Callithrix jacchus: one gene and its partner. The protein of the gene in region 1 purifies or fractionates together with the protein of each later gene. This does not show direct contact. Links are inferred from orthologs where the notes say so. Each region holds a gene or a part of one and is shown on either strand. Other genes may lie near its edges.

Evidence for each region.
Region 2: the proteins of HNRNPA2B1 (region 1) and HNRNPH1 purify together in Homo sapiens (affinity purification with mass spectrometry; 5 studies listed by BioGRID and IntAct, with this or other methods). This does not show direct contact. The link is inferred for Callithrix jacchus from reciprocal best matches to the Homo sapiens genes HNRNPA2B1 and HNRNPH1.

What each region holds. Positions count from the first base shown.
Region 1 is NC_133512.1:31,907,729-31,911,673, reverse strand, and holds the end of HNRNPA2B1 (heterogeneous nuclear ribonucleoproteins A2/B1), read right to left. Parts: intron 2,688-3,945; coding exon 2,568-2,687; intron 2,313-2,567; coding exon 2,190-2,312; intron 1,570-2,189; coding exon 1,508-1,569; 3' UTR 1,487-1,507; intron 1,331-1,486; 3' UTR 832-1,330; downstream 1-831. UniProt on the Homo sapiens protein: Heterogeneous nuclear ribonucleoprotein (hnRNP) that associates with nascent pre-mRNAs, packaging them into hnRNP particles.
Region 2 is NC_133503.1:72,027,214-72,032,123, reverse strand, and holds the start of HNRNPH1 (heterogeneous nuclear ribonucleoprotein H), read right to left. Parts: upstream 3,009-4,910; 5' UTR 2,922-3,008; exon of another isoform or gene 2,809-2,921; intron 2,171-2,808; exon of another isoform or gene 1,767-2,170; intron 1,645-1,766; 5' UTR 1,614-1,644; coding exon 1,517-1,613; intron 1-1,516. UniProt on the Homo sapiens protein: This protein is a component of the heterogeneous nuclear ribonucleoprotein (hnRNP) complexes which provide the substrate for the processing events that pre-mRNAs undergo before becoming functional, translatable mRNAs in the cytoplasm.

The DNA of each region.
Region 1 (3,945 bases):
AACACCACTGAAGGAACCAAGAAAAGCTTTATTAATGATCACTTGGCTTGCCTCAGCTGTTGAAATGAAGCACTTTACAGTCTTTGTGGCAGCAGAATATACTTGTCCATGGCTCATATCAATGCTAAAATTCCAGCAGGGAAAAAAATGATATGTTAAGCACCTGAATCTTCACATGGAGGGGGAGGGGAGGGAAAGGAGGAAAAAAAGGGAACAACCAAAATAATTTAAGTAAATGACAGATTGGAAAACAGGGTTTATAAAAATTCTCTTGAGTTTATAAATTGTTAAACTCAATTTATAGCTATGTTAAACTACGTAAGAACCACTATACTGAAAGACCATTGAAGAATATTAGTTTATCTTTTAGGGAGGAAAATTAAGAAAGGAAAAGTAAATAAGATCTTACCTAAAGAAGTTTAACTGAAGCTTAGAACTATTTTGCTCTACACCCTCAGCTTTCGTTGGCATCCTTATAAACTACTGTAGTTAAAGTTTTGTAGAAACAGCACAGTTTTTTAAGACTGGCTGAACTTAGTAGCCGTCAAGAGTTCTCTTGTACTAGACCTGTGTCCCTGAAGAGTACCTCGCTGGGGTTATTTCCTTTCCTTGCATTGAAGAAGCAGCATCTAAAAGATCTAAAAAGGTGTTTCTCCTTGCAGAGATATCCCTTAAGTTATCTACATAATTTAATCCTGATGAATTGCAGACAACACACTTACATCTGACCAGCATTTATCTTACACAAATATAACAACAGCTTTGCAACGAACCTTAATTATACTACCCACTCCTTAACTTATTTAAAATAAAAAGTCTATAATTACACAATTTCCTTTAGAATTATTTTATTAAATCATAAATGTACAACAGCTTCTTAACTCTACACACGCACTTAAATTTTTTTAAAGGAAAAACGTTATGTCTTATTACACCATGATCCTGGCTAATAGCTTTTCAAAACTTTGAGAAAAATCTTAAAAAAGGTTTCACATGTCACCTGAAACTTACAAATTTAACATTATCAAAGAAGGAATGCTTCTACACTCTTACAAAGACCACTAGAAAGAAACAACAATTAAAAAGCTAAGAAACTGTCTCAAAGGCATTTTTTTTTTTTTACAATCCTTCCTCCACAGTAAGGTAATGTTATTAAATAATCCAATCCATTCACAAAATGGCTCTCTGCATCTGCTCTGGTGTCTTCTGCCATATCACTGCATATTTATGCATGACTGAGATAAGAGTTTCCTTAACATTGTTATTTCGATAACCTGAAGCTGTTCTGTTACCTCTGGGCTCTCATCCTCTCCTATTTATACAGTGAAGCCTGTTTCAACAGAAGTAAAGAGTAAAAAAAAAATAGGTTATGAAATTATCCATCTAACCAGATTTTAAGGAAAGATAACATGATCCTAAAAAGCTTTTACTCCTGCAGCTAGATCTCCCAAGATAATAATAATTGTAAAACTCAAAAGCTACTTACCCATGGCAAAGAGGAAGAAGCTCAATATCGGCTCCTCCCACCATAACCCCCACTTCCTCCACTGCCTCCTGGACCATAGTTTCCTAGAATTGTTGGAACAGAGAGAGAAAACAAACTTAGATTTCCCATGATCAGCCTACTACAGTTGATTCTATTTTATATCTATCAAATCTTTAAAACAAGCAGATCCTAACTTCTGCAGCCAGTTAGCAGTATTACTTGGGAGATCAATTACTCAGGTTTTAATTTTGTGGCTGACACTATTCTTTTCAATAAAGGGTTGGTCCTCTCACCATCATTTGGACTAAGATTTTTTTAAAGTACATCAAGCACAACACAAAATGTATAGTCCTGCTAAAAACCTCAAGAATAAACTAAGCAATGGTTTGAATCACAGTTGGAAGTATTTAACTTCAAAGACCCTCATACCAAATTTATACCCATTGCAATGCTGGTTGTATTTTTACTTGGCTGTTTATGAGCCCCTACCGGAAATTCTTTCAACTTCTCAACATCCCCACTTCCACCACAATTTGATATTAATTGCTTGCTAAAGTATTTCTGGAGACTTATGCATTAAGACCGCATATAGAGCACTGTCCAAATACGAACTACTTAGTATGGTATCTTCCCTTTAAATCACGAAAGGCTAAACCTTTAATCACAAAAACCTGAACAATCTCAATTTTTAGTTATAAATTACCTCCACCATATGGTCCCCCCATGTTCCTGCTACCACCAAAGTTTCCACTCTTCATTGGACCGTAGTTAGAAGGTTGCTGGTTATAATTTCCAAAATCATTGTAATTTCCACTGCCATAATTTCCTATAAATAAATTGAAATACTGACATAATGGACCTCAGAACAATACAAACATTAAACCAATGATACATACTGACTATTCAGGCCAAAGCTCCCACAAAAACAAATAAAACCAAACACTTATCTTTAACTTTTAAGGGCCTCCAGTGACAAATATTGAAATAAAAGATCAAGTGTTACAAAACCATTGATTCCACCCCCAATTCCCCAAATAAAGGATCTTATAAATTCCCAGATAATTGCCTGTGAATTTATTACCTCCTCCATAGTTGTCATAACCACCTCCGTAGCCCCCACCCTGGTTGCCATATCCAGGTCCTCCACCACCATATCCTCCTCTTCCTCCTCCATAACCAGGGCTACCTCCAAAATTGCCACCTATTATAAAATAAGCCTTTAAGTAATCACTTAATATTTTTAATGACATTCTTAACTGTCTCTCACACCCATTTATAACTTTTCAAAAATACACGTTTGTATGTGAAACATTCAGTGAGATCCCTCTAAAATAAAATAGCCTCAAGGGCTGAATACATACCCTTGGTAAACATTTGATGGCTGAGGTGCCTACCCAGCCAAATGGACAACACCATGTCTATACTCTGACAATACCTGTAATGCCTCAGTTTTCCCTTAAAACTATCTTAAGGTTACCTTTTCAAAGTATCTTGAAATACTGCACGTACATTTTGGCTAACGATTGCAAAACTAGACTAATAGTGGGCTTAAGGGAAGTAAAAGAGCACCTCCTCTTACTAGCCCAAAAGATAAAAGTTTCTATTACGTCTACCTACGAATTACCGTATCTTTCTAAAACCATGTACTTAGCTGGCTTTTCAGACTTCCTCAGACTGGAGTGCAGTGCTGTGATCTTGGCTCACTGCAATCTTGGCCTCAAGCCTGTAATCCCAGCAATTTGAGAAACTGAGGCAGGCAGCTTGCTTGAGCCCACGAGCTCAAGACCAGTCAGGGCAACATAGCAACCCCTCTCCAAACCAAAAAAAAAAAAAAAAAACACAAAATTATCCATAATGGTGCACACCCTTGTAGTTCAGCTACTCAGGAGGCTAAGGTGAGAGGATGGCTGGAGGCCAAGGTTGCAGTGAGCCAAGATCTCACCACTGCACTCCAGTCTGAGGAAGGAGGCCAGACACCATCTCAAAGAAGGGGGGGGGGGGGAGAAGACCCAACACTCCACTAAATATGTTCTTTACCGTATCCTAAATAGAAGTGGGGAAAGAAAAATTTACTTTCACATAAAACAAAACTTACAAAAAAGCCTGGGGGCTGAGTCTCAAATTATAGTTAAGTACAATAACAAAAATTAAAATTTTCATTATAAAAGTCAAGAACAGTGAGATATAGTACTAACTTAGTCATGCCTAATGAATGGCAACACCAGAAATCAAGTTTATTACCAGTTCATAGTTTTAGAAGTTCCTTATTACTAAATCTGTCAGTGTGCATCAGCCTTTTCCATACGCCAGTATAACCGATCAATTTTAACATATTACTTCACTCACGTTTAACCGTAGTTCCCAATCTTATCAGCAGCCAGGAGCACACTAAATATCTTAGAAAACTTCCTCAAGAAAGCTATCCTGGGATGCTTGTCATCTAAGTGTTAAGACATATT
Region 2 (4,910 bases), on another chromosome or scaffold:
CAACCCATCAACATCCAATATTCAAAGCAGTTACAGAATGAATTTCTCTTTTGAGTCCTTGTTACTCATGTCTCCATCACAAATCTTTTATCAATTTCTCAGAATACTATCAAGTCTGTACTTTGTGACTTTATGGCAAACATACTTCGTTGTGAGTTGTTTTGGTCTGGTGCATTTGTCAGTTTTACTTTACCAGCAGCGACATTACGGTTTCTCATTCAAATCCAAATTGCAGGCCCAATACTAACCTGAAAGGGAATCAGTGTTACCAAGCTAAAATGCTCCAAGCTGCACAGCTGCAGCCAAACCCAGTGTTGCCCCCTGCAAGGTGGCTTCCAGTGTACTTGGTTCTTGTTTTACAGGTCGTTTTCCATTACCAACGCTAAATTCAGATAGTAAGTCAACACTACAAACGTCTTACCAAAAGCTGTCAATTTCATCCAAATAGAATTTCATCAGTCTAAACTAATTTCTTTTCCCCAGTCTAATGCTGCGAACAAGAACATTCTGATAGAAAATACTCAGGAAAACTGTGTACTGGAAAAAAATTTACACAGGCAAGAAAACTTCCCTGGGCTTCAGCGTCTTCAACTGTATAGAGAGCCATATCAAGAACTAGACTAGCAAACACATCTCAATTACCAAATCTTGATTAGGAAAACCGAAATTAAGACGTGACACTTTAACTTTCCGAAGCAGAATGCTCATTTTCAAGGAAACACCGAAACTGTAAACAAGAGGTTACACTTCAAGATATTCCAAAACATTACAATTTGTCTAATCACTCGGGAGATTTTTCTCAAGATTCAAGAAGAAATCCCATCTATGCCAATTTATCCTTTCCAAAAGATACCCAGACAGGGAGCAGTGGCTCACGCCTGTAATCCCAAGCACTTCTGGGAGGCCGAGGCAGCCGATCATTTCAGGTCAGGAGTTCGAGACCGGCCTGTCCAATATGGTGAAACCCCCGTCTCTACTAAAAATACAAAAAGATGGCCGGGCGTGGTGGTTCACGCCTGTAATCCACGCACTTTGGAGGCCAAGGCGGGCGGATCACCTGAGATCGGGAATTCAAGACCAGCCCAACCAACATGTTGAAACCCCGTCTTAAAAAAGAAAAAGAGTACAGTAAGTTAGCCAGGCATAGTGACACACGCCTGTAATCCCACCTATTCCGGAGCCTGCGGCAAGGAGAATCGCTTCAACCCGAATCGCAGTGAGCCGAAAACGGAAAAAAAAAGAAGAGCTGGTGTTCAAAGGCAGGTAAAGAAAACAAGTCTACCAGATCGGCAGCACTCCAAGAAACAGGAAGGCGGCGGGGCTTTCGAAATTTCCATTGCGTAACAGCGGTCGGCGGGGCGCGAACAGCACAGCGGGAACTGCAGTCATCCGCGCCACGCCAGGGGGCGCCCCGAGTCCCGCCCGGCCCGCCCCAGCCCGGCTGCCCGCCAGCCCGCCCGCCAGCCCGCCCGCCCAGGCCTCGAACTCGAACTCCCGCGTTCTAGTGGTAACTCACCAGAAAAAAACCTCTGCACTTCATCGGCCGAGCAAGACCAGGGCAACCCCCGGACCTTCACCACGAATCCCTCTCCACCTTCGGTGCCCAACATCATTGTCTCTTACGCGGTCCGACGTCGAAACAAACTGCAAGGCGGGGAGGAGGACCAGACCTGAGAGCGCCCATTAAGCTGTGCTCCGCCCCCGATGTACCCCCCCGGGCCCGCGCCACCCGCCCTACGGAGCAAAAACCGGGCGGATGCACCCACCCCGGCGACTCCAACACCCAACACTTCCTCGGCCAGCGAGCGGACCCCCAAAGCTGCTCTGGGGAGCAGCTGTCGGCGCTCCGAACCCTGGGGGCGGGGGTCGAGAGCCAGCGTGGAGACAAGGAAATGGCGGCGGCCGCTTCCGCTCCGCCTCCTCCGACTTCTCACACAATAGAGTCCGCGCGGCCTGCAGGCCTCGGCGGCGGTGCTGGGATTCAGCGAACAACTTTCGGTTCTCGATGGCTGCCCGCAGCTAGCCAAGATCCCCGCAGCCCTCCCAGAGGTCGGGAGGAAAACAATCCTAGCAAAAACGGACCCCACAGCGGGGGTCGCTGGACAGCTAGGGAGGACCGACCGCAACTCACCCTGACACCCAACTCCAGCGTGGGTAAGACGAAATGGCCAACAGGCGCTTGCGCAACCTAAATAAGGCCCTTTGTGCGAGCTCTGCGCACGCGCAGCCAGCTGCTCGCCCCGCCCCCTTGCGTCACAAAGAGCTCTGACGCATGCGTAACTTCAAGAATCAGCCTACCTCCGGTTGGTAGATTATTACACGCCTGCGTTTTGGACTCAGCACCCCCACCCATTAACCCGCCGGGCTTTTTATTGCGCCTGCGCTTGATCGCGAATATTGAACTTGGAGCCTCAGCGGTTTATAATTGTTTCTTGCGCATGCGTCTTCCTTGAAACCGTTCTCTAGCGTTACCCGCCAACGTGGGGGAGGGGAATGGCGCCGCCAGTTCCCTATGGGGCTGTATAGGAGTCCCGACCTCTGGGTTGTGATGAGGTGGGCGTCTTTCTACCCCTTACCCCCAGTCTTACCGGGGCGCTCCTGGCCGACCTGAAAGGAGGAGCGCGGCCTTCGGGTGTTCCCACTCCCCGCGCCGCCTGTCTCCCCTTTATCCCAAAGCTGGCCGGAGCTGATCAGCTGCAGATTGCCGAGCGTCTTGGGAACTATAGGGCTGCGGACGTCCAGCACCCGAAGCCTCCCGGATGGTGCCTGGGGCACGCCCCAGCCGTGTGTGCCTCCACTTCCCCTTACCTGCCGTCGTCGGGCCTAGGGCGCTGGTCGGCGCGGGGTTCCCGTGCCTGTGGCTCGCGCCTGTACCCCGCTTTTGCCTAACGAACTTGCATCCTTTGTACCTCTTGACCCACCTCCGGGTCGGCGGGCCTGGAACGCCCTGGGGCCCTGGCACGAGGACGGGTCGCCGGGTACTGCCTCGCGAGCGCGATCTCCTCTACGGGTGCGTGCCGGCCTCTGTGCTGGGATAGGCTCCGGCTGAATCATCCCAGCGCTGAATTGGTAACAGTGCGTGATTCCCCAGGTGGAGACCCTGCATTCGAGGCCCCTGGGTCACCCGGTGTGCACATAGGCTGCGAGATGAGTAATGTTCGTGGTTTCTAGCAGCACTGCCCAAAACCGAAGACTCCAGAGCTTCCCAGGCCTCCCTCTGTCTAATCTGGCTGCCCTCTTCACCCCAGCTCTCGTGGACACAGGCAATAAATTAACCATAAGGTAGTGTTGGACCCTGCCGCAGGGCTAACTCAGGTAGTGCAGGCCTGAGTGCCACCCTCGGAAGATTCGGGCAAAGCATGTTTCCAAACCCAGTGCCACAGAGGCCGAATCCAGTTTTGACAGGTTTGAGGAAAGTAGAGAGGACATCCAAAGAAACACAGGAGCCCAGAGCTAAGGAGGGCCTGATCTTCAAAGGCCACTTCGGCCTTGGCAAGGGTGTTAACTGCAAGTCCTGTATAAAGGAAAAGTCTTGCTGGATGTGAGGGAGACGCAAATAGAGAGCAGGCAGAGGGAATGATGGTACATGCCATGCACTCTGCTGCAAACAGAACTAGAAGCACATACCTGTGGTACCATTTCAGAAGGCACTGTGGCTGAGGTCATCAGAAAGAGAGACTCCCACCAGGTGCAGTGGCTCAGACCCGTAATCCCAGCACTTTGGGAGGCTGAGGCAGGTGAATCACTTGAGGTCAGGAGTTGGAGACCATCCCGGCCAACATGGTGAAACCCTACCTCTACTAAAGATAACAAAAATCAGCCAGGTGTGGTGGCATGTGCCTGTAATCCCAGCTACTCAGGAGGGCTAGGCAGGAGAATTGCCTGAACCCAGGAAGCAGAGGAAGCGGTGAGCAGAGATCACACCACTGCCCTCCAGCCTGGGCAACAAAGCAAGACTCCAACTCAAAGAAAACAAAACAAAAATTAGCCAGGCATGGTGGCGCTTGCATGTAATCCCAGCTACTTTGGAGGCTGAGGCAGGAGAATTGCTTAAACCCAGGAGGCAGAGGTTGCAGAGAGCTGAGGTCACGCCATTGCACTCCAGCCTGGGCAACAAGAATGAAACTCCATCTCAAAAAAAAAAAAAATACTAGTGAGGTAGAATAAATTTCATACATTTATAGCCAATTCTCTTTTACATAAATTGTCCAACTTACGTAAAAAAGGTTTTTTAATTTTTATTTTTATTTTCCTTTTTTTTTTTTTCTGAGACATGGCCTCACTCCGTCACCCAGACTGGAGTGCAGTAGTGCAAACATGGCTCACCACAACCTCTACCTCCTGGGTTCAAATGATCCTCCTGCCCCAACCTCCTGAGTAGGTAGACCACAGGCATGTGCCACCTTGCTCAGATAACTTTTTTATTTTTTTGTAGCAATGGCATCTTACATTGTTGCCCAGGCTGGTCTTGAACTCTTGGGCTCAAGGAATCATCCCACCTCAGCCTCCCAAAGAAACGTACTAGGATTACAGGTGAGAGCCACCATGTTTGGTCATGAAAGAAGGTTTTTTTGTTTGGTTTTGTTTTTGAGACAGTCTCACTCCGTCATCACCCAGGCTGGAGTGCAGTGGTGCAATCTTGCCTCACTGCAACCTCTGCCTCCCAGGTTCAACCAATTCTCGCGCCTCAGCCTCCCAAGTAGAAGTATTACACGTTTGCCACCACACCTTGCTACTTTTTAAAAGTTTTTAGTCCAGATGGGGTTTCACCATGTTGGCCAAGCTGTTCTGGAACTCCTGGCCTCAAGTGACCTGCCCACCTGGCCCCCCAAAGTGCTGAGATTAGGGGCATCCGCCACCATGCTCGGGCAAAGGTTTTTTTAATATAAAAAGTTCATAATCAGGCTGGG